Danio rerio: one gene and its partners. The protein of the gene in region 1 binds, or shares a complex with, the protein of each later gene. Links are inferred from orthologs where the notes say so. Each region holds a gene or a part of one and is shown in the gene's direction. Other genes may lie near its edges.

Region 1 (4,161 bases):
TTGTGACAATATTTCGTATTTTACGTTACTGTGATGGGTCGATTTAGGATTTGGGTAAGGTAGACGTTATTAAAACGCATAATAATGGTTATTCATAAATATTATAAATAATTATCCTTAACTGAAGACCGCACCTGCAGTTACACCATAGATATATACATATATATATACATACACACACACACACACACACACATACATACATATATATATATATATATATATATATATATATATATATATATATATATATATATATATATGCTCAAGTATCCCCAACTGTATCCCTTCTTTTGTTTGTGTAACACATATATGTATGTATGTATGTATGTATATATATATATATATATATATATATATATATATATATATATATACATACATAAATGTGTTACACAAACAAAAGAAGGGATACAGTTGTGGGATACTTGATCATGCGCACATCAACATAGCATGATTTTTGTGACACAACAGTATTTTACGTTACTGTGATGGGTCGATTTAGGATTTGGGTAAGGTAGACGTTATTAAAAAGCATTATAATGGGTATTCATAAATATTATAAGTAGTTATTGTTAACTGAAGACCGCAGCTATATCCTTTAGCAACAAAACATGTGTTACACAAAAAGTTGCGGATACTTGGGCATGCGCACATCAACATCAATCGTTGGTACACTGCACAACAATAATTAATATTTTACGTTACTGTGACTTGTCGATTTAGGGTTTGGTTAGGGGTATACGTTATTAAAACGCACTGTAATGGGTATTTATAATTTTTATAAATAATTCTCGTTAACTGCTGACCGTAGCTGTATCCCTTCTAGCAACAGCACAGTAATTTGTCACAGAAACAAAAAAGGGATACAGGTGCGTATACTTGGGCATGCGCACATCAACATAGTCTGATCTTTGGTAAACTGCACAACAATAATTAATAATTTACGTTACTGTGACTGGTCAATTTAGGGTTTGGTTAGGGGGTATACGTTATTAAAACGCACTGTAATGGGTATTTATAAATTTTATAAATAATTCTCGTTAACTGCCGACCGTAGCTGTATCCCTTCTAGCAACAGCACAGTAATTTGTCAAAGAAACAAAAAAAGGGATACAGTTGTGGATACTTGGGCATGCGCACGTTGACATAGCATCATTTTTCACACTGTACGACAATATATAATATTTTACACCACAGTGACGGGTCAGTTTAGGGTTTGGGTGGGGGTAAAGGTTATTAAAACGCACTGTAATGGGTATTCATAAATGTTGTGAATAACTCATACCTTCTGACCAAATTGCGCCCTCTTTTGGTCAGTGTCCGCAGTTCTGTCTGCGTTCCAGGAGGAGTCAAACGTCAGCGGAAATGACGAAGGCAACAGTGGGTCAGTTTAACAAAATCCCGGCGAAAGCGCGCGCAGTTACATTCAGAGCCTCGCCAGAACAGTGGACAGCACATCTGCACCGTGCCTCCTCTGCATTAGTACCTGCTAAACTCTAGGATAGTTTAGGATTCTGCTTTCCTGTGCTGGAAAACAAGCAGTTAACCAGGCCGCAGCTTGTGTCGTAACAGGATTAGATAACTTTAGTTCCTCCTACTCTAAACTAAGAAAGCAGCACAATGTTTGAGGCACGTCTGGTTCAGGGATCTATCCTTAAGAAGGTCCTGGAGGCTCTGAAAGACCTGATCACCGAGGCTTGCTGGGATGTGAGCTCGTCGGGCATTTCTCTGCAGAGTATGGACTCCTCTCATGTGTCTCTGGTGCAGCTGACGCTCCGGAGTGACGGGTTCGACTCCTACCGCTGCGACAGAAACCTAGCCATGGGGGTCAATCTGAGCAGGTAAAATCACTGACTAAATCAAGCGCCTTTTGTGTTATTTGACTCGTATTTACTTGGTGAGTGAAGTTTGAACATGTCTGCGCATGCCCGGGGCTGCGCCTCTACACAGCAGCGCGCCATTTTTAGACTATAAAGTGACAAAAGTATTTTATTTACAGTAGTTGTTATTAAAGTATGCCGTTTTACGGTTGTGTTTTAAATAGGCTATCAGTTTAATTTGGCGCGCAGTTTCCTGCATTCGTCCCACGCTCTACTGATCGTGACGTCACTTGCGCGCGCTTAAGCTTGTTGGCGGGAAAGAAAATGCCGGGTTGCTGAATGACAACATGGCTCTGGTGTTAGACAAAGAAAACCTGCTTAGACACTTTTTGTGTATGCCATGACTGTTTCGAATGTAAATGGTAAACCATTTTACGATCAATATGGTGTTTTTCTACCTGAAGTGAACGTGTTTTGATTATTATTCATCTGTTTCCTAGCATGTCGAAGATTCTGAAGTGTGCTGGAAATGAAGACATCATCACACTCAGAGCTGAAGACAATGCTGACGCCTTGGCACTGGTCTTTGAAACGCTCAGTAAGTTAACTTCTTTTTAAACTAGGAATAGCAATACTTTTGATAGTGTACAATTAAAAAAAACTTTTTTTTATTATGAATTTATTTTATGTTGCTAAATTTATATTTGCAGTATTTTAATATCGATTTATCAGCAATACCTGTTAAAAACATGGGCTTTGGTTTAAAATGAATCATTAAAGTTAAGCTAAATAATTAATACTTAATATTTAAAAATAATTTTCTAATAATAATTTTCTCCAAAAATGTAAGAATGAAATTCGCATAGATACTGGAGCCATTTTGTGGTTAATAACATCACATAAAAAAAATGCTTCTAGTATGGATTTTCTTCACCATGTTATCAACTATTACTATGAAACCAAAAGTTAAGTTTTGCTGGAGAGCTAATAATCCATACTAATATTTACATCTCATTTCAGATCAAGAGAAAGTGTCCGACTATGAGATGAAACTGATGGATCTGGATGTGGAGCAGCTTGGCATTCCAGTAAGACTTTATTATAACAGGGTGTCTGCAGGGTCATTAAAAGTTGATAAATCAATTTGGTATTAAACAGCCTTAACTGTTGTTTTACAAGATATAATTGTTTTGGTCATTTTATGATTATATAATGTGTAGTTGTGTGCTAAAGTTTGCCTAAATTTAATCTGTGTGGTTTATGAAATTGATAAAATCCTGCTAGATTTGGCATCACACTGCTTTGTCTACTGCAGTAATAAAGGCAAGCCTATGTTTCCTGCTGTTCTATAGGTGCCATCTGTTGGGATTAGCATTTTTATTCAGTACATGACCGATTTAGTTTAGGATTCGTTTCTTACAATCAGTATTTAGTAAATATACTACAAGTTGAATTGTCACCAATGTTAAGTTAAAACCTAAAATGGCGATGAGGTCTTAAAGTTTATTGAGTTTCCCTCTCTTGATTCCTGTTTATTTCTGATATGATCGTGGATGTTTGTCTGCAATGATCATGCTTTATTCTCTTCCCCTCAGGAGCAGGAATACAGTTGTGTGGTGAAGATGCCGTCGGGTGAGTTTGCCCGCATCTGCAGGGATCTGTCACAGATTGGTGATGCTGTCATGATCTCGTGTGCCAAGGATGGCGTGAAGTTCTCTGCCAGCGGAGAGCTGGGCACAGGCAACATCAAGCTCTCACAGACCAGCAACGTCGACAAGGAGGATGAAGCGGTAACATACTATTCATTTAAGGCTGCACGATACTGGGAAAAATATGCAATATATATTCTATAATCAAACATTTCTCTGAAAAAGTCAATTTAATTAGCTGTTTTAAAAAAATTATTTCATGATTTTGCAATAAACAAGTAAAATATATTTTCCAGATCTAATTCAGACTTAAAACTGTCAAGATGCAAACCTTTAGTCTTTAAAGCACTATTAGTGAGAATCATTTTTTAGCTCTGATTTCACCTTTAAGCCAATCCAGCCAATAGCAGAACAGCAACTACTTAGGAGGCGGGGCTAAAGGTAGTAAAGGCCCCATCTGATTGATCAGATTTATATAATAAGCAGCTTTATTTTCATTTAGCACCTTTAAAAGTAGCATCTCGGGGCACTTTACAGACATAATGTGCAGCTGTTAAAGATGCATACAGGATGAATGCAAAAAAAATGCAATGAATATAATCAAACGCTTACAATAATAATAAATCTAAAAAGCTACCCTAAAAGAGTAGGTTATAAGTGATTTAATAATTATCTGGGATTTTATCAGA
Region 2 (3,500 bases), on another chromosome or scaffold:
GTAAAACATTGTTCAAAGTCAAATAAATAGTGCTAATGTTGTTTTAAAGTCATACTTGCATGTGATTTCACACTGAGTATTTAAAATACCACGGTAAACAATACAGGGAGCATGTCACAAGTTGTCACCGAGGGTGAGTAAATTGTGAGTAAACTTTCATTTTTGGGTGAACTATCCTTTCAATTAATTTAATTGATTTTTTACATGTTTTTGTTTTTTGTTGTCGTCTTTTACTCAGACCAGTAAAAAGTCCTCTTAAAATTCAGAATGGCGTGCAGGAAAGTGATTCGCCAATAAAGAAGGTTCATAAACGCAGTCGAGCAATCCTAGACAGCGATGAAGAAGATGGAGATCAGCCAATGGTCAAGGAGCAGGAGCCAAAACAGAGTGAAGTTCAAACAGTAAAGAAAGAGAAGGTAAAATGTGAATAATCATGACCACTAAACATGAGAGCATGTCAGTATTGTTGTTAACTTTATTTCTGTCCCATGCTACCACAAATGCTCAGATTTCTGATGTTAAGACGGCTGAGGTAACAAAGGCTTCCTCTACTCCTGTATCTCCAAAATCCCCCAAAACCCCAACGACTCCGGTCACTTCGAGCACCTCTGTTTCTGTTGTAACTCCTGCGTCCTCTGGGACTCCTGGAACTCCAGCAACTCCAACATCAGTGTCACCGTCAGGCATTCCCAAACGCAAGACTGGTCTGTATTAGTCTGCTTTTCTCACTTTTTTGTGGTTGCGCTAATCATTTATTTGTATTTTTTCAATATTGCAAAATGCATTATGATTTAGGTATGGGCCAATGTAAAATTCTGATGGTATAATAATAATAATAATAATAAGTAATAATTATTAAATAATAATAATAAGTCAAGTCAGCTTTATTGTCAGTACACAATCAATCACATGTAAAGGACATACAGAGAATTGAAATTGCTTGACTCTCAGACCCCAGGTGCCTAACATGTAATATTAATACAAAAAGTAGAATAAAAAAAATATTACAATAAATACAGTTACACATATTATCTAAAAATATAAGTAAAAATTACAAATGTATGGTCCTTTTCTGTTGGAGATACTGTTGCCCTAAAAAAACTAAATAAAATAGTCATTAAAATTTTTTTATAAAAAGACACGTTCTGAGTTTGTTATATATTAACATTATATACACACTAACCGGCCACTTTATTAGGTACACCTTACTAGTACCGGGTTGGACCCCCTTTTGCCTTCAGAACTGCCTTAATCCTTCATGACATGGATTCAACAAGGTACTGGAAATATTCCTCAGATTTTGGTCCATATTGACATGATAGCCTCACACAGTTGCTGCAGATTTGTCGGCTGCAAATCCATGATACCAATCTCTCGTTCCACCTTAGCCTAAAGGTGCTTTGTTGGATTGAGATTGGATTATATGTTTATAACAAAGCAGCAAATCTGCATTTTAGGATGTGCATGTGTGTCAGTGTGTCTAGTTTTTGTGTAAAATGGTTTTCATTGCATCACAACATCATGTCAAAATTATCCCCTAAAATATATTGGGTTGTTGCACCCTATATGTGTACAGCCTTCATGAAAATAGAACATTGGTATATTTATTTCTAATGTTGGGGTAATTAAAAAAAAGGCTACAAACTTCAGAATAAATAGATAATTTAGGGCTGTTTTTCTGCTGTTGAAATAGTTACTGTTTATTTTGACAGAAGGGTTAAAAATCAGCTTATGAGTTTATTATATTTGATTAATTTGGCTTTTATTGGTCGTTCAGAGAAAAAAAACTTTCAATAATAAACTAAATCCATAAGGATCAGTCATGATGTAGTTGATTGTGTGCAGTAGGTTTTTCTTCAGTTCCTACCTGTTTAATATATTTGATGAAGCAGGCTTTCAACCTCTCTTTTTTTTAATAGCTCGTAAGCAGTTCCCTAAGAGGAAGCTGGAAAGCAGGAGTGATGGAGAAGAACTAAAAGAGGAAGAGAAGGAGGTCGATGGAGGACAGGAGAGTAAGAGAGCACGAGTCGACTCTTCACCAGAACAGACAGGTTAAATGAGTTGATATTTATTCACTGGTGTAGTTTCTCCTTGATCTCAGTTCATTTCTAATTCTTTTCTCTTTCTTTTTTTCAATTCAGAGAATGAGATGATGGAGGTGGACGAGACGAGTGCTGATGAAAAGACTGCAGTTGAGGAGAAAGAGGACAAGGCGAAAACTAGTGTAGTTGTGGACAGCGAGATGAAAGATGAAGATGACAAGAAGCAGAAGATAAATACAAACAACGAGGCAAAAGAGAAGGATAAAAATGAGAGTAAGCAAGAGGAGAAGATAGATACAGAAAAGGAGACGAAAGAAAAGGATAAAAAGATCAATAAGCAGCAGGAAAAGAAAGAAACAAAAAAGGAGACAAAAGAAAAGGATAAAAGTGACAAAAAGCAGGAGGAAAAAGATAAAAGTGACAAAAAGCAGGAGGAAAAGGATAAAACTGAGGAAAAAGTAAATGGTGAGAATGAAAAGGAGAAAATACCGGACAAGAAAGGAAAAGAAAGCAGCAGTCCTGAAAAAGTGGTGAAAAAAGAGAAGGACACAGACGGAGGATCTGCCAAAAAGAAACCCATCAGCAGCTTTTTTGGTGAGCCTTTTTATTGTTTTCTTCTTTTTTTTTGTTAACCACTCAAAATAAATGACTTATTTACCTTCACAACATCCCAAACCTGTATGATTTTTACAGCACAAGGGTGAGAAGCTATACAATTGAGTTTTCAGCTGAACCGTTATTTAGCTTTTAATCTTTTGTAGCACCCAGAAAGGCTGCAGTTAAACTGGAAAAAGAAGAGCGAAATGAAGGAGAGAAAAAGAAAGATGGAGAGACCTCTGATGTGGTGGAACAGAAAGAGAAGAAAAGGTTACAATTTAAAATGCCTTAATGACTTTAATAATATTTGGTAATTATTGTTCATTTTGGAAGTTTCTTTAGGTTTTTAAATATATATTTTTTCCAACAGTGAAAAGGGAGTGGATTCTGCAGTCCAGAGCCAATATGATCCTTCTAGAGCACATTATCATCCCATTGACCACGCCTGCTGGAAGAAGGGTCAAAAGTAAAGCATGCCTTTCGTTATTTATGAAACAGAGAGTCCTACGATTTCAGATTTTTCACAGAACTTCTTCAATCATCCCTATAGTCAGAGTTTGTTTTTGGTCTGTGCTTAACACAAGCTGAAGATATTTTCAGGTTTTGTTCTGTAACAGAATAATCTGTAATATCCACAAAGGTTTATACAGTCCTGGAAAACCTGGAAATGTCATGGAATTTTGACAATGCATTTTCCAGGCCTGAAGATGTTTTGGAAAAAATCAACCCAAAATATTTTTAAAAAGTCATGGAAATTAATTTGTTTAGCAAAAATCGATCTACTTGAATATGTTTGAGGTGATAATATTGGGTAAATTTTAAATACAATTGCGCAGTTAATTTTTTCATGTGACGTTCTCT
Region 3 (3,500 bases), on another chromosome or scaffold:
CGCTTGTGGATGTTGAAGAAAGTCAAAATCAGAAAACTATAAAGAGGCATGCAATTACATGCAAAACAAAGCAACGCTAGCAAAATAGTGATAACATTTTAACAGATAAATACTTAAACAGTTAGCAAACAAAATGAAAATACATAGAAAATCATAGAGGAACAAAAACAAGGGAGAGCTTAAATAACTAAATAGGTTTAATTGTGTTATATGCCTTTTCAGTGTGATTTGTGTGATGATGTTTAATGCATTTATGTTATTATTAATATTATTTTGTTTATGTGACGTGATTGTGTTGAATGTAATTATGTTAAATTTTTAATGTAATGATGTTATGGAAGCCAAAAGTTCCACTTGTGGATATTAAAGAAAGTCAAAATCAGAAAAGTATAATGAGAATGCGATGATGTGAATTGTTGCCATTTAATTTCCCAGGTATATGTCAGGGTTCAAACACAGCAAACGGGTGAATGTGGAGGATGTGTTGACATGTATTAAAAGACACCGGCTGTACACTCACGCTGAAGCTTGTATGAAAGATAGACTCCCAGACATGGTGGATGAAGAGGTACAGTAATGTGTACTCAGTGAACAGTATTTGAAACTACGTGAGCCTTTATGTTGCTTTCTATTGTGCAGTTTTGATGTTTGACTTGTATTGCAGGGTCCAAACCCTTGGTCTGCCATGGCACTGTTGTTGATTTTAGCTGACGGAGTGAAAGATATCCTGGACCTGGTAGCTCTTCTGCGGAGATCTGGCTGTCTGCTGACCACAGGGGGGATTTCTGAATACCTGTGGGCAGTGGCGACTTTACTTCTGGCCATGAGAGAGCGGAATATTAACATAAGCAACAGGTAAGAGACCAAGTTTGAAGAGCTTCCTGCAAATGACCCTAACCTCTGCACAGCGTTCCAGAATTTACATTCGACTGCTGAGGAAGTAAACAGTGGTTACTAGGTGATTTTTAACTGAATGCAAGAAAGACAAAAACTTGCTATCAAACGTTTGCATCTAGATATAAATAGCTCTTTACTTTTTGATCTTCTATTTTTAGGTGGCACTACAACATCTTTTATGTCTTGCACTTGATGGAAAATGCATCTCCAACAAGCCTGAAAGACAACAGGTGGGCAGCCATTTCAATATGGTGTTAGTTTTAATTTCAGAATGTTTGGGGGTAGATTTTATAAATGCCTTATTATCTTACATTATTTTGCATCAAATTGAATGATGAAGGCGTTTGTAATGTTACAAAATATTTTTGTTTCAAGAAGATTCTATTGTTTGAACTTCTGTTTATTAAAGTATGCTGGGAAATAATCGTTATGTTTCTAAATGATCACAGGGTGTCCACTGGGACTTAAAAAGCCCTAATGTCTTATTTTAAAACAAAATTTTAGGCCTTAAAAAGTCTTAAATTCACTAAAATATTGTGTTGTTGGTCTTAAATCATTTCAAACTGGTCTTAATTTTGCTATATCCAAGTAAATCTACTCGATCGGACTGACATCCATCCAATGACTAACAAAACTTCTCAAACCCTTTTTTAAATATATATTTTTACAAAGTTATACTATTGACAACAGCTGTTAGACATTTTCACTAAAAATCGCCAAATTAAATTCCCTAATCAGGGAAAGAAAACAAGTATTCCTCATGATAATAACAGGCCATTAGAAAAGTCCTTAATCTCGTATAAGTCTAAAATTTCATTCTTAATGGTCTTAATAGAGTCCTAAAAAGTTCTGCAGAAACCCTGGAACAATAATGTTTGTTTAACACAAATCAACATTTTAGAATGATTTCTAAAGGATCATGTGACTCTGAAGACTGAAATAATGTTGCTGAAAATGTCGTTTCAGTATCAAACAAATAAATAAAATCTTTAAATTATATTCAGTTTAAAAATATATATTTATTTCAAATTGAAATAATGTCACAATATTACTGTTCTATTTTTGGTCAAATGATTAATGATAATATGCATTTATTATTAAAAAATAGTTGTTATTAACCCGACCAATTTAAACCCTTAGCTACTATCCAAATTCTTAGTTAAATAAAAAATGTAAATGTTATATTATTATATTGTATATTTTTGATCAAATAAATAATTATAATATATTATTTTTATAATAAATACAGTTTTAAACCTTAAACTTTTTGACCCCTTAGCTGCCGTCTTAATTTTTGGATAAAAAATGTAAATGTTATATCATTATACTGTATTACAACTGTTATATTTTTGGTCAAATTAATAATGATCTTATGTATTATTTTATTATTATAAAATTAATTGTTACCAATCCCAAACTTTTTAACCCCTTTGTTATGATCCTAATTTTCAACAAGCAATTTTAATAAACAATTAAAAATGTTATATTGTTTTATTGTTGTAGTACTGTTATATTTTTGGTCCAATAAATAATGATAATATATATTTATTATTATTATGAAAAAAAAAGATCAACCCCTACTAATTTAAACCCTAAGCTTATATCCAAATTTTTAGTTAAATAAAAAAATGTAAATGTTATATTTTTATATTGTCATATTACTGTTATATCGTTGGTCAAACAAATAATGATTTGTTAATTATTAAATTTGTTACATTTTTGCTAATTTTTAATTAAACAAACAATTAAAAATGTTATATTACTGTTATATGTTTGGTCCAATAAATAATGATAATGTGTATTTATTATAAACAAATTAAATAGTTATCAACCCCAAATGTTTTTGTAATGCAACTTTATAATTAATTGATATCTTAATTCATCACATGCACATATAATACATCCATATAATTACCTCAGTCATAGTCATCAAACCTAATTATCTTCATTTTTAGGCAGCTTATCACTCACGAACAGCAGCAGATTCTCAACCACGACATCCAGCATCATCACGTTGTCAAAATAATGGCTTTTGCAGGTAAGGAACAATAACTGAAATGATTTTGCCACTAAAAGTAATCCTGTAGTATAGCACCAAATAGTATCCTGGTCTTACAATCCCTTTTTCTGTTGTCGCAGGCACTGGAAAGACAACCACGCTAGTGAAATATGCTCAGCAGAGGCCAGACCTGCGCTTCCTCTATCTGGCCTTTAACAAATCTGTAGCGGTGCAAGCCAATCGGTTATTTCCACACAACGTCGAATGCAGCACCGTCCATTCAATGGCCTACAGATCTGTGGGAGTGAGGTCTGTTTATTGGAGAAACATTTAGCAAACGAGAAACTATTATAAGTAGGGCTGCACAATATATCGTTTCAGCATCCATATCGCAATGTGATCATTTTTATTTTATTCAAATCATTTATTTAACAGGGACAGTACCCTTGACATTATTATACAAAGACAACCAATGCCGCGTACATAGCATAAAACTATTTTGCAGACCTTGTCCCTGGTTAGGCTTTAGGACATAATAAAAATAAATAAAAACCTGCAAATAATAAACATGGTAAACCAACAGTAGTCACAACAGTCATATCGC
Region 4 (4,177 bases), on another chromosome or scaffold:
ACCATCACTATACAATAACTTGCCTAATTACCCTAACCTGCCTAGTTAACCTAATTGACCTAGTTAAGCCTTTAAATGTCACTTTAAGCTGTATAGAAGTGTCTTACAAATATCTAGTTAAATATTATTTACTGGCATCATGGTAAAGATAAAATAAATCAGTTATTAGAAATGAGTTATTAAAACTATTATGTTTAGAAATGTGTTGAGAAAATCTCTCTGTTAAACAGAAATTGGGGGAAAAAATAAACAGGGGGGCTAATAATTCAGAATGGCTAATAATTCTGACTTTAACTGAATATCTCAGACAAAAAGCGTTGCAACAGGAATGCACTGACCATTAAATTTAGCAGTGCCCCAATTCCAGCCCTTAACACACATGTCTTTCTCTGTTAGCTCCACTTTGTAGTTGTCTTTGAAGTATTCTGAGATCTTCTCAAGGTCCTGCGCAAAAAGAAACGGATGAAAATTTAAGACCTGGAATGAAACAGCGGATCAAACTGAGTGATCAATTGATCTGTAATTTGCATCTCAGACTCACTGCGTCTTTAAAGCCATCATATTTGTAGATGTGGCCAGTGCTGGTCCATAGTTTGATGCCGTGACCCAGACAGACTCTCCTCCACTGGGCCTGAGTGAGTTCAGGGACCGGAATAGTGTCCACCTTCCCGGTCTTACTGTTTTTATACACCACTGTCTGCTTACTGAAGCGCAGGCGGCCGTCATTCTACAAGAAAAGACAGTCGGTCAACTTTATTGAGAGTTTGATAGAAAAACACCTCAAGTTAGAGAACAAAACCTTTTTTAACTCACCCATGAGCCCTTGACCTCCTGATAAATTTCATTGAACTCCAAAGTGTCACTCATGTCAGAGTAGACAGAATGGACCTGTGACGTTTAAAAGCTGCGACAGTTATTAATATACATTATACATTATACAATTTCCACTGCAAATGGCAATATGAATGTGTTATGAATGATAGAAAACTCCCAGTTTACTCTGGTGTCAACAGTAGACTTTTATTATAGGTTGTTTTGGATGTAAAAATCTAGCTTTGTGCTTTAAGAAAAGCTTTTGCGAGTGTTATTATTTTGTGGCTGCACAGCGAGATGATGTCTAATAATAAACAAATAAAGCTAGCAAAGCTGGCGTTCAGGCATCAAACAGCGGCTTTTGTGACGAACGACACGTTTGCAAATTTACAGCAAATTTACAGCAGGCTTAGTACATTTCGAACGCTTTTGTTGCATATGTTATGAAATATGCGAGAAATTTGAATGAGTATTACTGTTATTCGGCGAGAGGATCAAGGCCGAGTCCCGTGAGCGTAGATGTGCGGCGCGCAGGAACGCCTTCGTCATGACGCAATCGCGCAGTGTGCGTGGCTCAGCCCTGCCTATCGAACGTCAGTCTGTTTTGTAAACGATCGAAACACAAAGGGAAAGTTAAAAGGCTTTATTGATGAAGACTGCTGCTGTCAACATTTACAAATAATTTATCATATGACGATATCCTATCAGCGTCCAGGTATGCAATATATTTCAGATATACTTTTTTGACAGTAGTGTTTCAAGCACTGTTGTTCGATGGATCAATAAATAAAGATCGCCTTTACTGGTGATTTTAATGCAATTTATTTAGAAATTAAAATGAAATGCTACACAGAATGCATTGCTTATTTTATGTTTTAGACCGAAAGCATCTAGTAAGATAGTATTTGCATGTCCTGCTCTTTGTGCTCTCACAGCCAGAGTATTTACAACATTATTGACGTTACAACATTATGTATTTACCTCGATTTAACTTGTTGATATATCTTATTATGCTACATCACGTTTAAACTAGGAAGCTAACACGTTAGTTAACATGTACTAACAATGAAAATACTGAAACTGTTGTTTACATGTGCCTTGTACTTACTAAAGTAATAACAGTGAATTATTTATAATTACGCATGATAAACTGATACCAACCCCTTTTCTTAAACATATACTATTATAATAAGTTAAATATAGTTTTTTTTTTGTGTGTGTGTGTGTGTGTGTGTGTAAAAACACTGGAACAAAGACTCTTAAAGGGGATAGTTCACCCCAAAAAAAGAAAATTCTGTCATCATTTACTCATCCTTCACTTGTTCCAAACTTGTTTGAGATTCGTTCTTCTGTTAAACAAAAACAAGATAATCTGAAGAATGTTGAAATAAAAAACAGCCTATGACTTGTTTTTGATAATTTTTCCAACATTCTTCAGAATATCTTCTTTTGTGTGCAACAGAACAAAAGTTTAGGAATTTTCATTCTGTGTGAACTATCTCTTTAATTATTGTATAACTGAAAACACTTTCAAAGTATATATTCATTTTAATGCATTACCATTTATCGATAGTTCATTGATTGAAGTTACATACATACTGTAGCATATGTATTGCTCATTGTTTGCTTTATTTCAGATATGACACCAAAGCGTGGCCTCATCACCGACACCTTTAAGGTTGTGAAGAAGGCAAGGAGAGGAGGCAAGAGAAGCAAGTCTCCTTCACCACCGAAAGCAGGTCAGATAGTATTTTGTTCTGTGTGTTAACATGCATCTTTAAGCAGAAATCATTCCATATCACTATGGTCCTAAAGTGTGCAAATGCTTTAGAGGCACATGCAACCATGTAATGCATTTATAACCTGTTATTACTGCTCAGAGCCTGAACCCCCACAACTGAGTGAAAGAGAAAAAGATATACAGGAGCTGAAGAACTTTGATCTGGATTGGAAGTTTGGACCATGCACAGGTAAACGTCTGTTTTTGATTTTACATTGATTATAATAACGGCAGCATGGTTGCGCAGTGGGTAGCGCTGTCGCTTCACAGCAAGAAGGTCACTGATTCGAGCCTTGGCTTGGCCTGTTGTCATTTCTGTGTGGAATTTGCATGTTTTTTTTTTATTACAAGATTTTAAGCTTTAAATATATATATATATATATATATATATATATATATATATATATATATATATATATATACATTATAAGAGCAAACATTGGCTCATACTTTAGAAATACAAAAGACAGTATAAAATAAAACTAAAAAGAAAGGAGACAAAAAACACACACACAACATCACAAAACATACATCAAAACAAGAGGGGTTATATAACTTAAACCTCAGAGTGGTCAGTAGATTGCTTTTTAGATATTGATTTGTCAAATAAATCAAGAAATTGACTCCAAGTAGCCAAATATTTTCTGATGAAGCTAGTCCTTAAAAATCTGAGTCTCTCCATCTGAATAACAGACATGATATCAGAAATCCAGTTCTGCAATGAGAGGCGTAAAGGTGATTTCAAATTTATTACACTATATTTGTTTAGCCACCATCATGCCTTGCATTAAAGACTTTTGCATTGTTTGAGAGAGAGAAGATGTGATTTGTGAGAAGTCAAAGATGGCAAGTTCGATATCTGGCAGAAAAGGCCTGCTCTAAGCTCAGCCTTCCAGTTCTGTTTGTCCAGAATCTGTTCAGTAAGGGAAAAATTGGCATGTTCTCCCCGTGTTGCCATGGGTTTCCTCCAGGCTCTCTAGTTTCCCTTACAAGCCCAAAGACATGCGCTATAGGTGAATTGGGTAAGTTAAATTGTCCGTAGTGAATTGGAGTGTATGGGTGCTTCCCAGTGATTGGTTGCTGCTGGAAGGGTATCCACTGTATAAAACATATGCTGGATAAGTTGGCGATCCATTCTGATGTGGTGACCCCAGATTAATAAAGGGACTAAGCTGAAAAGAAAATGAATGAATGAATGAATGAATAAATGATAATAACTATTGATTAACCCTTAAAGGGATATTTCATCCAGTAATGACAATTCTTTAATGTTTTACTCATACTTCTCTTGTTCAAAACCTGATTCAGTTTCAGTCTGCTGTTAAACATAAAAGAAGATTTTTTGAAGAATGTTGAAAACAGGTAACCATTGACTTCCATTGTATTTTTCCCCATACTATGGGAGCCAGTGGTTACCAGGTTTCAACATTGTTGGACAAAATAACTACTTTTGTGTCCAACAGAAAAAAAGGTATGAAGGTTTAAAACTACATAAAGGTGAGCAAACGATTACAGAATTTTTTTGAGAGGTGAACTATCCCTTTAAGGACAGACCTGTTGTGTTCTCTGATGTTTCTTTTGGTT
Region 5 (3,174 bases), on another chromosome or scaffold:
AAAAGCACGCACATCTCTCTTAATTGGGTGCTCAGCCAAAACCGCAAAAAGTGCAAATTAAATGTAAATCAAAGGCGGCAACACCAAGGCTCCAAAAATACAAGTTTATTCAATTAAAAAGGCTGACACAGAGCGTGTAACGTTTCGAGCCGCCGGCTCTTCATCAGACAATGTTTATCACAATCAGGTGCTTCTTTTATACACTTCCGGATCACATGATCTCCTCTCACATATTTGTCAACATATACATACATGCATATGTATACATACACAGTCGTTCATATATACATATACATACACATGAATACGTATACACATTTACATATAGTCTATAGCTTTGATATTATAAATCAAATTACAAAAAAAAAAAATATATATATATATATATATAAATACATAAATAAACTATAATATTGCATCACAAATTATAATACAGAAAAATAAATAAATAAGGGAAAAAAATAAATAAATAAAATATATAATAATAATAATATATATATGATACACCAGACTATACAACAAAATATAGCCAAAAAACCTTTAAACCAAACCCCTATTAAACCTTCATTCATTCATTCATCATTCATTCATTGTCTTTTCGGCTTAATCTCTTTATTAGTCGGGGCTACCACAGCGGAATAAACCGCCAACTCGTCCCACACACTTCCCCGCAGCGGGCGCCCCTCCAGCCGCAACTCATCTCTGGGACACTATTACATAATAAAGACTTATTAAAAAATTATTACAGAAAAGGACGAATGTCAAACTCCTCATTTAAACCTTTTGGAGACAATGCGTCTAAAGTGAAAATCCAGAAAGCTTCGCGTTGCAACAGCAATTTATTAAGATCACCGCCCCGACGTGGACACTTCACAACTTCAATCCCTATATATTGTAGAGTAGAGACGGAATGTCTCATAACTGAAAAATGTTGCGCAACCGGACTTCTGGGATCCTGTTGTCAAATAGCGCATCGATGTTCAGAAATACGAATTTTTAAAGGTCTACTCGTCTTACCTACATAACATAAACCACACGGGCACCGCAGCATATAGATAACGTTCGCTGTTTTACACGAAATAGTGCCTCGAATATTACATTTTTCCGCTGTATGCGGATGTGTGAAAGTAGATGTTTTATATGTAAAATTACACTGTAAACAATTGTCACATTTAAAATTACCCTGTAGTATGGTGTTTTAAAAATGTGGAGTGGGTTTTAGATCAGCTCTTACTAGCATATTTCGGATATTAGATGTTTTTTTGTGTACCAAACGGGGTGACTTATCAAAACACTCTTTGAGGGTGGGATCACTTGAAATATTATGCCAGTGTTTTAACAGCACTTTATTGATGTCTTTAGTCACTTGTGAATATTTCATATAACAAGTAATGCGACGATCATGCTTTTTTGTTACTTTTTTAACTGAGCTTTCTTCTTGTGACATATCTTTGAAGCGATCATGTGAAGACTGTATCCACTCCTTATAAGATCGTTCTCTAAATCGTTCTCTAATATCAAAGCTATAGACTATATGTGAATGTGTATAAGTATTCATGTGTATGTATATGTATATATGAACGACTGTGTATGTATACATATGCATGTATGTATATGTTGACATATATGTGAGAGGAGATCATGTGATCCGGAGTGTATAAAAAGAAGCATCTGATTGTGATAAACATTGTCTGATGAAGAGCCGGCGGCTCGAAACCTTACACGCTCTGTGTCAGCCTTTTTAATTTAATAAATTTGTATTTTTGGAGCCTTGGTGTTGCCGCCTTTGATTTACATTTGTTTTTTTTATACACCAATAATAAACAGCTTCTTTGACTATCATTATATACAGACGCACCCTATCCCTTTAAACTGGCAGTATAAAGATGCCCGCAAGCTGTTTTTCGAAACTCCAAAAATCGACGACCCAGTCCTGGCCTGGAGTGAGCCTGATGAAGAAGGTCTGGTGCAGTTCCTGTGCAAGGAGAAACCTTTAAAGTATGCCTACATATTCTAGTATTATAGAGTGTTTGCCATTAATTGATGTTTTTAGATGTATCTTTCTTTTGGTATGTGAACATATTTACTGTTTTTCAGGGAAGAAAGGGTGCGGGGACGCATGAAGAAGTTTCGCGAGATGCTCCTAAAGAGAAGGAAGCAGAGGGAGGTGAATATGCAAATGGGCCAAACTAGACAATCACGCCTTGAAGATTTTTTCCCTGCCACGAGGAAGAGAAGGGTAAGATTTAACATTAAAGAAGTATTATGAATTTATCCCTTTCTTGAATATTGTATCCAACAATCTTGATCTCCCCCTCTAGGCTGAATCTGCTGCTGTAAAAGAATCAAGTGGGAGAAAACAATTCAAAATTAAATAAGACGGACCTTTTAGATCTTGGATCTTGGATCTCAAAGCATTGATCAAACCATCATGTGGACAGAAGAGTCAAATGTGTGATGACTTGAAGAAGTTTGGACTGCCTTTTTACTGAGTATTTTATTTTGTTCAAATGGCAATGGTAAACCATTGCCAAGAAAACCTATTTTTAATTAATGTTTGTATCATGTACAACAAAGGTGCTAATATTTGAGAGCCTGTAAAATCAATGCTTTAGAAAACATCTTAAATAATGTTTGTAACGACAAAAAAAGTAAACCTCTGTTTATTTCCAAAGATATTCCCTGCCTCATCATTTGCTAATACATTATTATAGTAGCAAACAATATTACTGTGGCTTTTGTTTAAGGAAGCTCCATACATTATTGGCTGTGAACATTGTAAGGCTTGAAGCTTACTACTTGCTATTCTGAACCAATAATCGGAAACAGAAAGCAGTTGAAAGATGGTGTGTTTAAATCCATTATTTATCTGACTCCATTGTAATTAATCTGACTCCATTAAAGATGTTATCATCGTTGATAAAGAGAAAGAATCTCTACGCCTTAAAGCAGGCAAAGTTGTTTATTAAGTTACATGTTTAAATATACACACAGTAGAATGAAACAAACTAGCATACTGTATAAAGAAATTAGCTGTAATATATGCACTGCTGAGCAACAAAGACAGTGAAACTGCCTTTGTTAGCATATGAGGCTACGCACTGGTGTGCGGGAGATGCAGAGTAAAAGCCATTCTCCAAGATCAACAGTTACCTTTCCCTATTATACCCTGAG
Region 6 (4,222 bases), on another chromosome or scaffold:
AGCGACATTGTTTATTATTAGACTGCAAAAAATGTAACCCGATAGACTGCTCTCGGATTTAACACTTTATTTGTTTTATCAGATGGAGATTTTGTGCATTAAGTTTGAAGTGTGACCCGGTTGTAAAGCAGGTCACGTGACGCACAACGCCAGTTTCGTCGTCGGGTTTCCGTTGCGCTACAAGGAACGCTAGAAGCGAAAGCGACCCAAAGAGGTGACCAAAGAAGGCGGGGCTTATGAGTCGGCATTTACCCTGATTAGTCTAAACCTCTGCTCAGCTTTTAGGCTCTTCATGCTATCATAATTTTTATTTAATCATTTGCAAAATTATATATATATATATATATATATATATATATATATATATATATATATATATATATATATATATATATATATATATATATATATATATATATATATATATATATATATATATATATATATATATATATATATATATATATATATATATATATATATTATTGCTTGCTATCAGAACAAAATCCAAAGGATCCCAGAGATCACTTTAAAATGATCAATAGTATACACAGTCATAAAAATTATCACAAACACATACAAATAACATATCATTAGACTGAAAGGGAAAATATTAATAATTATAATATTAATAATAATAAAATTATGATAATAACAAAATTACTAAATTAAACAAACTAAATTAAACAAATGAATGAAATTACAATGACACTTAAACAAATAACCAAAAGGAAAGCAACTAAACTTAAGCATCTCCTACATCTGTATAATATTTCAGGAATTTTAGGGTTTTTTATTCTTAATAAGATTAAGTTTTTGTGTTTCTGTGGCGTTTACATGTTCTTCCAGTGTTTGCGTGGGTTAAAAAAATATATGCTGTAGGTGAACTGGGTAGGCTAAATTTTGTGTGTGTGTGTGTGTGTGTGTGTGTGTGTGTGTGTGTGTGTGTGTGTGTGTGTGTGTGTGTGTGTGTGTTTGTGTGTGTGTGTGAATGAGTGTGTATGGATGTTTACCACTTATGGGTTGCAGCTGGAAGGGCATCCGCTGCGTAAAACCATATTCCGCAGTGGCAACTCCAAAACAATAAAGGTACTAAGCCAAAAAGGAAATAAATGAAATAATGAATATATATATATATATATATATATATATATATATATATATATATATATATATATATATATATATATATATATATATATATATATATATATATATATATATATTGTTAATGTTAATGTTAACCCGGATTTTTTTGGGGCCACATGGCGCCTCTAGTGTTCGCAGCCATTCCACTCCGCTCGCAGTGGCTTAACACTTCCTGTTTCCTGACGTGTCGACCAATTAGAACACTGTTCGTCCATCTCGCGGGGAATTCGTCTTCAGCGCTTTTTCATTGTTCGCGGGAAACTTACCACTTCTGAACGCGACTTGCATCCTGCAGCGATGACTCTTTTTCACCATGTTGTTGATCGAGGGGCTAAAAAAAGAGGACGAAATGGTGAGTTTGCTGAATATACGTTAACCTAAACCAGCGTTATTACACTATTTACACTGAAATACTTTGTAATAATCAGGTGAGCAGCGGCTGTTTCCTCTGTCGTCTCTGCTGGACGGCTATGAATGCGCTCGGCGGGATGAACACATCTCTTATGGAGCCTCCGCTGCTGCCGTGCCGCCATTCGGATGCACATTTTCCTCCGGTAAACATTTATTTCTGCATTCACAATGAGTTCGAAGTCAGTAGTACAGAATTGTGCAAAGACATTATGTTTGTGCTGGTTTGTTTTCTATGTTTAGCTCATGGACAACAAAACTGTCTTGCTGTAGCCAACGAAGAAGGGTTTGTGACCATCTTCAACACTGGAGAAAAACAAAGCTCTGTTCTGAAAGGTTGGCTTCAAGTTTACCTGGAAATATTTTAAAGGTTTAAACTAGTTCGCTTTTGGAAAACCCTATTTCCTATTGGCGTCAAATATAAAATGGGTTGACCGAAATCTCAACAAAAAGTGCAATAAAGCTTTGTGTTTCCCCTGTTAGGAAAATAAAATAGAAAAACATTTTTTTTTGTCATACTGTCATAATTTTTTAAAATCTTGTTTCGGAAATGTCATTCATTGTAACCACACCAAAAAAGTTAATAACTATTTCTTAGCCACATATTTTAAACAATGTGTCAAAAATGGGAATAAATCTAGAATTTAAGTGTTTTACAAATGTTAATAAATATATAATATGCAAAAATCAAAGTGTTATGCAAACAAAAATGGCAGTATGGAAAATGTGCAGGTATTTTATTGCAAATCAAAATGTGGCTGACCTGCCAAACCGACAGCAAACTGGGCAACACATCACTTGTTTTTTTTGTACCCACATAAATGTAGGTTTCCAAGAGGTTAGAAACATGTTTTCGTTTAGCCTCATAATTTGATGTTGCTATCTTGTTACCAGGTTATGGAAAAAAAGTATGTGCTCAGAACGTCTAATCACTTAAAAGGAACATGTAACATGGTGTTTATGACATCACAGAAGAGGTAACATTAAAAGGCTTAAAAGCAGAAACTTGATTCTTAGGCTGCCTTTGCATGCAATTGACAAATGGTCTCAGCCAAATTAAACCTTAGTGACATGAAAGCCCGATCGGGCAAGTTATGATCCTGTCTACTGTTCTGAATGTCTCTTATACTGACCAGGGCCATCTGGCAGTCCTTATTGTTAAGCCCTGAAATATTTATTTTTGGTAAAGTTGATTTTTCTATTCAGAGTTTATCCTGCTTAACCTAAATTCAAAATAAAAATTATTTGCAATCAATTCTAAATAAGGAAATGATATTAGCAGCCAATGAGCCAATTTTGAGTTCTTAAGTCTGAATTGGGAGATATTGCCTCACAATATTCACAAATAAAGTTAGAATTCTGAGAAAATGTTGCAATTACCTTTTTTAAAAATATTTTTTTATCAGTAGCAGGAACATGCTTCCTCAGATTTCAGATGATCACTTTTTTTTTTAAATTAATGGTTGCATTTTAGCTGACTACAGTTGTACAGCACACATCACTTGCATCACATTATATATTCAAATGAATTTTTTTATTCAATCATATCTTTAAATATATGATTAACATTCTGATTGAAAGTGCTAATTTGTAGACAGTTCCTTACATAAATGATGACGTTACAACCTTCCATAGCTATTGACCTTATTCTAAAATGCGGAAGTGCGCCTGTTTTCACGATTGTCTTAGAACTTTCGATTCAGTCGCCTATGGGAGAAATGACTAGGAATAATAAACGGCAGAAAACGGTCAAACTACTTGCTCTAAAAACAAATGTTTGCATGACTATACAGACCAAGTAGAATAATATAATAAGAAAATATCAAATTGCAACATCAAGCAGCGTAATAAGCAGTTTTTAACGTCAAAAAATGAATGGAAGTGAATGAGACCAGAAGTTTCAAGCCAAAAATATTCAAATGGCAGCGCCCGCTCATCGACGGAGAATAAGTTGAATAAGCGTATTTAAGTTGTACAGTTACATACGTATAATGCATTGTTCATAATAGTACATCATGATAATCCATATTAGCCCTTTTAAATTCTGTCAGATTGTGTGAATATAAAAGAAAGGTTAAGTAGGATAACGTTTTCTATTCTCTGAATAGAATAAGAGCAGAATAAGTATGTTTAATTTTTACACTCACACATATCTATATCTGTTTATGCATGCTGAATGAAGACGGAACATTATTTCACCTATATTTGACAATAATAATAATAATAATAATACATTATATTGCGCTTTTTTCAGCCCCAAAGCGCTAACAGGCATACAAGGCAAACAAAGCAGAACAATAAAAACAGTCAAAAAATAAAATAAAAAGACTGCAATAAAATATGAATGGCTCACTACAATAGGATTATAAAATAACAAAAATAATCTAGGTTAAAAGCAACGGTAAAAAGGTGACTCTTAAGAAGTTTCTTAAAACAATCCAGTGAAACGGCAATATCACAAGGTTATTTTAAATATTATAGTAGAAACTTCTTTTTGCATTGACAGTGATTTATACATGCACAAAATCACTTTTGTTAATTAAATTTTGGTGTTTCATTGATGTAAAACGTGTGTTTTCCAGAATGGCAGGCACATGATAATGCAGTTTTTGATATTGCCTGGGTTCCTGGAACCAATTGCTTAGTAAGTGTTGAATGATTTTTT
Region 7 (2,933 bases), on another chromosome or scaffold:
CAGCGTGAGTACCGGGCGGCGCTACGGCGCGATCTGGAGGACGCATCGCGACGCTGGAGCTTCGACTTTGCGTCTGAGAAACCACTAGAGGGCGGAGACTTCCACTGGGAGGGCGTGTCCGGCGTGCGCGTGCCACTACTGTACCGCGCGTGTCAGGAAAAGCAGCAGAAACGGCCCTGTGAGGCTCATCAGCCCGGACAGTCCGCCGCTGGAAAGGAAAACATCCCGAAAACACCAGAACGATGTGCTGCACTCCCGCATGAAGTGGAGAAAACCCCAGAGAAGAGCAGCGAGCTGAAGCGCAAACAGACCAACATCACAGGTCAGACCTCTTTATTATTATTATTTAGTATTGTTATTATTTATGTATATAGCTATGTTTGTTTGTTGATTATTTTTTTAAATAACAAAAATTAAAGAAAGATAAATAAATAAATGTCGTAGTGTTTCTATAATGCAACTCTCTGATGATCTGCTTTTATGCATTTTTCTATAATACCCTATTAAAAGTGTTGAATTTTTAGATGTAAAGTTTTAAGTTTCTGTTTTTAAATTTTTCATCTAATATTTATATTTTAATGCATTTTTTAAATTGCGTATTTATTTTATATTGTACTTTAATCAACCAAAAACTTCAGCTAACAAACACGACACAGATTGATTTACATTATCGCATATTTGAATTATATACATAATCGCATATTGATAGATATTTTTACATTAATACAAATTTAGAATTAATTTTTTTGTTATAATAATGAACCACTGAGTGTAGTATTATTGTAGTAATATTAAACTGCTTGTATTCTGATGTAAATTTAAAGCGTGAGTTCGACTAATAATAAACAAATAATATCGTCTCTCTGTTCTCAGATTTCTACCAAGCCAAGAAGCGTCTAGTGGCCACGCCGCGCAAATCCGGCCAGTAGCTGAAGGAGACACACACACACACAGATAAACTCTTGACCTGCATCTACCTTCATCTGTCTGGAGCTGCATTCGTCTCGTAGCAGCGTTATTGACAGAAAACGACCTTCAGGAACCAGAGACGACACCGTTTATTCCGTTTTTATTTCAACCGTTTTATGTCAACGGTTAACATTTACAAGTGGAAATGTTCTGGAAAGATCCATTCCTCAGTCTTCCAGAGATTGTCTCTCGACGGGACCACAGAATCATGACAACTGTTTCATTACGAACAATATAAAGCGCTGATTTTTATTTCAGCGTGCACATATTCACATTGCCTTATTGCACAAAACGTAGCTAATGTTTTAAAACTCTAAACATTTGGTGCCAAATGTTGTTTTTTCCTCTTCTTCTATTTATAATTCTAACCCTTTATGTTATTTTACACATAAACCTTCATGAAGCTGCCAGTAAGTTCTCACATCTTTATCGTAATTGAGCTGCAATTACGTTTTTCTACTACATTAAACTTTGTTTAAAAAAAAAACACTTGGCGACGTTCATGAAACACGAGCAGATAGAACTGAGAGAACAAATTCATTCTTGCGTTTATTTTAACGAAAACATTTTTGCACAATTTTTTTTATGCAGTTTTTGTGTTGAAATAAATGTAGGCTTAAAGTTTACGTGCACAAAATGTTGTAAGAATTATGCAAATCTTTTGGAAAACATTTTTTTTTGTTAAATTTGTACAGAATTAGTATAGAAATGCTTTAAGAATAATTATAGCAACAAACTTATTCTACCAAATATATAAGAAATATTGCAATGACAATAAAAAAAGTTAAAAAATAAGAAATAAAAAAAACTGAAAATTAACATGCACATTTTTTTTACAAAGAATTAAATAATTATTTGCGCAATTTATTCGTGAAATTATTTTGTTGCATTAGGTTTAGCGTGAAAATCTAATTGCGTGAAACGTCAATTCGAGAATTAGAATTGACGCAATTTTACGCATTTCAATTTTAATACAACATAGATCAGATTAGACCACAAAAGACTGTTAAAACACAGCATTTTTCGTAACGAATTTGCGCAGAAGTGTGTTCTGCTCTTGCTCCATGAACGCTGACACTACATCATATTTACAAACGCTCTACAAATACATTAAAATAAACTTCATAAGAAGTACGAACACCAGCTTTCATGTGTTTCCTAATCAAGATCTCAGCTCTGTCGGCTTTCTGAAGTTTAGCATTCAGCTCTTTACCAGCTCTAGAACTCTGCTTGTTTTCTGCGACCCGTCTGTAAATATCCTGTTTATTGGATAATTCGCCGTCGATTGAGAATTGCACTTGGGGTTTCTTTTGTTTTGTTTTTATTTTTTGGAGTAGTGTAGCTTGCACAGGTCTGTTATTGTTAAAGAGCTCAAAATATATGCTGTATTTATTTTACAGATTAATATTGTATTGTAGATTTACATGTAATTGTTCTTGTAATAAAGCTGTTTATGATATAAAATTGGTTTCTTGTTACTTTTTTAATTGTCAGAATTCCTTTAGGAAACAGTTCAGAATTGTGAGATGTAAATTTAGATTTTGAAGAATGAAAGTTAGAATTAGGAGAAGTAAAAATTACAAACAAAAAAATATATATTGTGAGATGAAAACCCAGATTTTGTCAGAATTATCAGGTGTGGATTTACAAATCCAAGAAAAAAAAGTCAGTATTCCAACTCAGAATTCAAAGGAATAAAAAGTTGGAATTTTGAAGAGTGAATTGATAATACCAAGAAAAAAGTCAGTATTTCAAGATGCAAACTGGGAATTCCAAGCAAAGATGCCAGAATTGTAAATTTTAAACATAACATCAGAACTAAAAAAAAAGCAGTATTACAAGATGCAAACTTTGAATTCCAAGCAAAAAAATAAAACCGTATTTCAACATGTAAACTAAGCATTCCAAGAAAAAAGTATGAATTCCAAGATGCAAACGAAAAAAATTGGAATTCGAAGAAACAA

Evidence for each region.
Region 2: the proteins of pcna (region 1) and lig1 are in contact, whole or in part, in a cryo-EM structure (PDB 8B8T), measured with the Homo sapiens proteins. The link is inferred for Danio rerio from reciprocal best matches to the Homo sapiens genes PCNA and LIG1. Residues at the interface, in NP_002583.1 of Homo sapiens: Met40, Ser43, His44, Val45, Leu47, Leu126, Gly155, Arg210, Ala252, Pro253, Lys254, Ile255; in NP_000225.1 of Homo sapiens: Ala361, Gly363, Arg364, Ser368, Ser388, Thr389, Gln390, Arg391, Leu392, Met393, Leu394, Val432.
Region 3: the proteins of pcna (region 1) and fbxo18 are in contact, whole or in part, in a crystal structure (PDB 8F5Q), measured with the Homo sapiens proteins. The link is inferred for Danio rerio from reciprocal best matches to the Homo sapiens genes PCNA and FBH1. Residues at the interface, in NP_002583.1 of Homo sapiens: Met40, Ser43, His44, Val45, Ser46, Leu47, Leu126, Gly127, Ile128, Pro129, Ala208, Asp232, Val233, Pro234, Tyr250, Leu251, Ala252, Pro253, Lys254, Ile255; in NP_835363.1 of Homo sapiens: Ser56, Gln57, Arg58, Cys59, Ile60, Pro61, Phe63, Phe64.
Region 4: the proteins of pcna (region 1) and pold4 are in contact, whole or in part, in a crystal structure (PDB 6HVO), measured with the Homo sapiens proteins. The link is inferred for Danio rerio from reciprocal best matches to the Homo sapiens genes PCNA and POLD4. Residues at the interface, in NP_002583.1 of Homo sapiens: Met40, Ser43, His44, Val45, Ser46, Leu47, Val123, Glu124, Gln125, Leu126, Gly127, Ile128, Pro129, Gln131, Tyr133, Asp232, Val233, Pro234, Tyr250, Leu251, Ala252, Pro253, Lys254, Ile255; in NP_066996.3 of Homo sapiens: Lys4, Arg5, Leu6, Ile7, Thr8, Ser10, Tyr11, Pro12, Val13, Val14, Lys15.
Region 5: the proteins of pcna (region 1) and zgc:110269 are in contact, whole or in part, in a crystal structure (PDB 1UL1), measured with the Homo sapiens proteins. The link is inferred for Danio rerio from reciprocal best matches to the Homo sapiens genes PCNA and FEN1. Residues at the interface, in NP_002583.1 of Homo sapiens: Cys27, Asp29, Met40, His44, Val45, Ser46, Leu47, Ala67, Met68, Gly69, Asn95, Ala96, Asp97, Leu118, Met119, Asp120, Leu121, Asp122, Val123, Glu124, Gln125, Leu126, Gly127, Ile128, Pro129, Glu130, Gln131, Glu132, Glu201, Pro202; in NP_004102.1 of Homo sapiens: Arg19, Phe27, Gly28, Arg29, Lys30, Lys80, Val167, Lys168, Ala169, Gly170, Pro188, His208, Ser210, Arg211, Leu296, Lys297, Trp298, Ser299, Glu300, Arg332, Ser335, Thr336, Gln337, Gly338, Arg339, Leu340, Asp341, Phe343, Phe344, Lys345.
Region 6: the proteins of pcna (region 1) and dtl are in contact, whole or in part, in a crystal structure (PDB 6QC0), measured with the Homo sapiens proteins. The link is inferred for Danio rerio from reciprocal best matches to the Homo sapiens genes PCNA and DTL. Residues at the interface, in NP_002583.1 of Homo sapiens: Met40, Ser43, His44, Val45, Ser46, Leu47, Glu124, Gln125, Leu126, Gly127, Ile128, Pro129, Ala208, Tyr211, Asp232, Val233, Pro234, Tyr250, Leu251, Ala252, Pro253, Lys254, Ile255, Glu256; in NP_057532.4 of Homo sapiens: Ser705, Met706, Arg707, Lys708, Ile709, Cys710, Tyr712, Phe713, His714, Arg715.
Region 7: the proteins of pcna (region 1) and cdkn1a are in contact, whole or in part, in a crystal structure (PDB 1AXC), measured with the Homo sapiens proteins. The link is inferred for Danio rerio from reciprocal best matches to the Homo sapiens genes PCNA and CDKN1A. Residues at the interface, in NP_002583.1 of Homo sapiens: Cys27, Asp29, Met40, Ser43, His44, Val45, Ser46, Leu47, Ala67, Met68, Gly69, Ala96, Asp97, Leu118, Met119, Asp120, Leu121, Asp122, Val123, Glu124, Gln125, Leu126, Gly127, Ile128, Pro129, Gln131, Tyr133, Ala208, Asp232, Val233; in NP_000380.1 of Homo sapiens: Arg143, Gln144, Thr145, Ser146, Met147, Thr148, Phe150, Tyr151, His152, Ser153, Lys154, Arg155, Arg156, Leu157, Ile158, Phe159, Ser160.

The regions. Positions count from the first base shown.
Region 1 is NC_133185.1:46,058,752-46,062,912, reverse strand, and holds the start of pcna (proliferating cell nuclear antigen), read left to right. Parts: upstream 1-1,361; 5' UTR 1,362-1,623; coding exon 1,624-1,844; exon of another isoform or gene 1,845-1,897; coding exon of another isoform or gene 1,898-1,929; exon of another isoform or gene 1,930-2,119; intron 2,120-2,323; coding exon 2,324-2,421; intron 2,422-2,843; coding exon 2,844-2,911; intron 2,912-3,418; coding exon 3,419-3,613; intron 3,614-4,161. Other genes in the region: E3 ubiquitin-protein ligase TRIM69, read right to left, coding at 1,898-1,929. UniProt on the Homo sapiens protein: Auxiliary protein of DNA polymerase delta and epsilon, is involved in the control of eukaryotic DNA replication by increasing the polymerase's processibility during elongation of the leading strand.
Region 2 is NC_133177.1:47,496,315-47,499,814, reverse strand, and holds part of lig1 (DNA ligase 1), read left to right. Parts: intron 1-238; coding exon 239-416; intron 417-508; coding exon 509-704; intron 705-1,919; coding exon 1,920-2,051; intron 2,052-2,141; coding exon 2,142-2,636; intron 2,637-2,803; coding exon 2,804-2,909; intron 2,910-3,009; coding exon 3,010-3,105; intron 3,106-3,500.
Region 3 is NC_133179.1:10,423,508-10,427,007, reverse strand, and holds part of fbxo18 (F-box DNA helicase 1), read left to right. Parts: intron 1-435; coding exon 436-568; intron 569-664; coding exon 665-855; intron 856-1,055; coding exon 1,056-1,127; intron 1,128-2,852; coding exon 2,853-2,935; intron 2,936-3,036; coding exon 3,037-3,205; intron 3,206-3,500. UniProt on the Homo sapiens protein: 3'-5' DNA helicase and substrate-recognition component of the SCF(FBH1) E3 ubiquitin ligase complex that plays a key role in response to stalled/damaged replication forks.
Region 4 is NC_133176.1:47,967,895-47,972,071, reverse strand, and holds the start of pold4 (DNA polymerase delta subunit 4), read left to right. Parts: upstream 1-1,377; 5' UTR 1,378-1,503; coding exon 1,504-1,528; intron 1,529-2,450; coding exon 2,451-2,552; intron 2,553-2,693; coding exon 2,694-2,783; intron 2,784-4,177. Other genes in the region: ssrp1b (FACT complex subunit SSRP1), read right to left, coding at 339-444, 542-727, 814-867. UniProt on the Homo sapiens protein: As a component of the tetrameric DNA polymerase delta complex (Pol-delta4), plays a role in high fidelity genome replication and repair.
Region 5 is NC_133177.1:18,824,143-18,827,316, forward strand, and holds the end of zgc:110269 (probable flap endonuclease 1 homolog), read left to right. Parts: exon of another isoform or gene 1-359; intron 360-1,852; coding exon 1,853-1,998; intron 1,999-2,097; coding exon 2,098-2,239; intron 2,240-2,321; coding exon 2,322-2,378; 3' UTR 2,379-2,674; downstream 2,675-3,174. UniProt on the Homo sapiens protein: Structure-specific nuclease with 5'-flap endonuclease and 5'-3' exonuclease activities involved in DNA replication and repair.
Region 6 is NC_133195.1:14,376,522-14,380,743, forward strand, and holds the start of dtl (denticleless protein homolog), read left to right. Parts: upstream 1-1,422; 5' UTR 1,423-1,446; coding exon 1,447-1,501; intron 1,502-1,577; coding exon 1,578-1,703; intron 1,704-1,800; coding exon 1,801-1,893; intron 1,894-4,139; coding exon 4,140-4,201; intron 4,202-4,222. Other genes in the region: ints7 (integrator complex subunit 7), read right to left, coding at 1-8. UniProt on the Homo sapiens protein: Substrate-specific adapter of a DCX (DDB1-CUL4-X-box) E3 ubiquitin-protein ligase complex required for cell cycle control, DNA damage response and translesion DNA synthesis.
Region 7 is NC_133197.1:620,015-622,947, reverse strand, and holds the end of cdkn1a (cyclin-dependent kinase inhibitor 1), read left to right. Parts: coding exon 1-322; intron 323-873; coding exon 874-929; 3' UTR 930-2,433; downstream 2,434-2,933. UniProt on the Homo sapiens protein: Plays an important role in controlling cell cycle progression and DNA damage-induced G2 arrest. Involved in p53/TP53 mediated inhibition of cellular proliferation in response to DNA damage.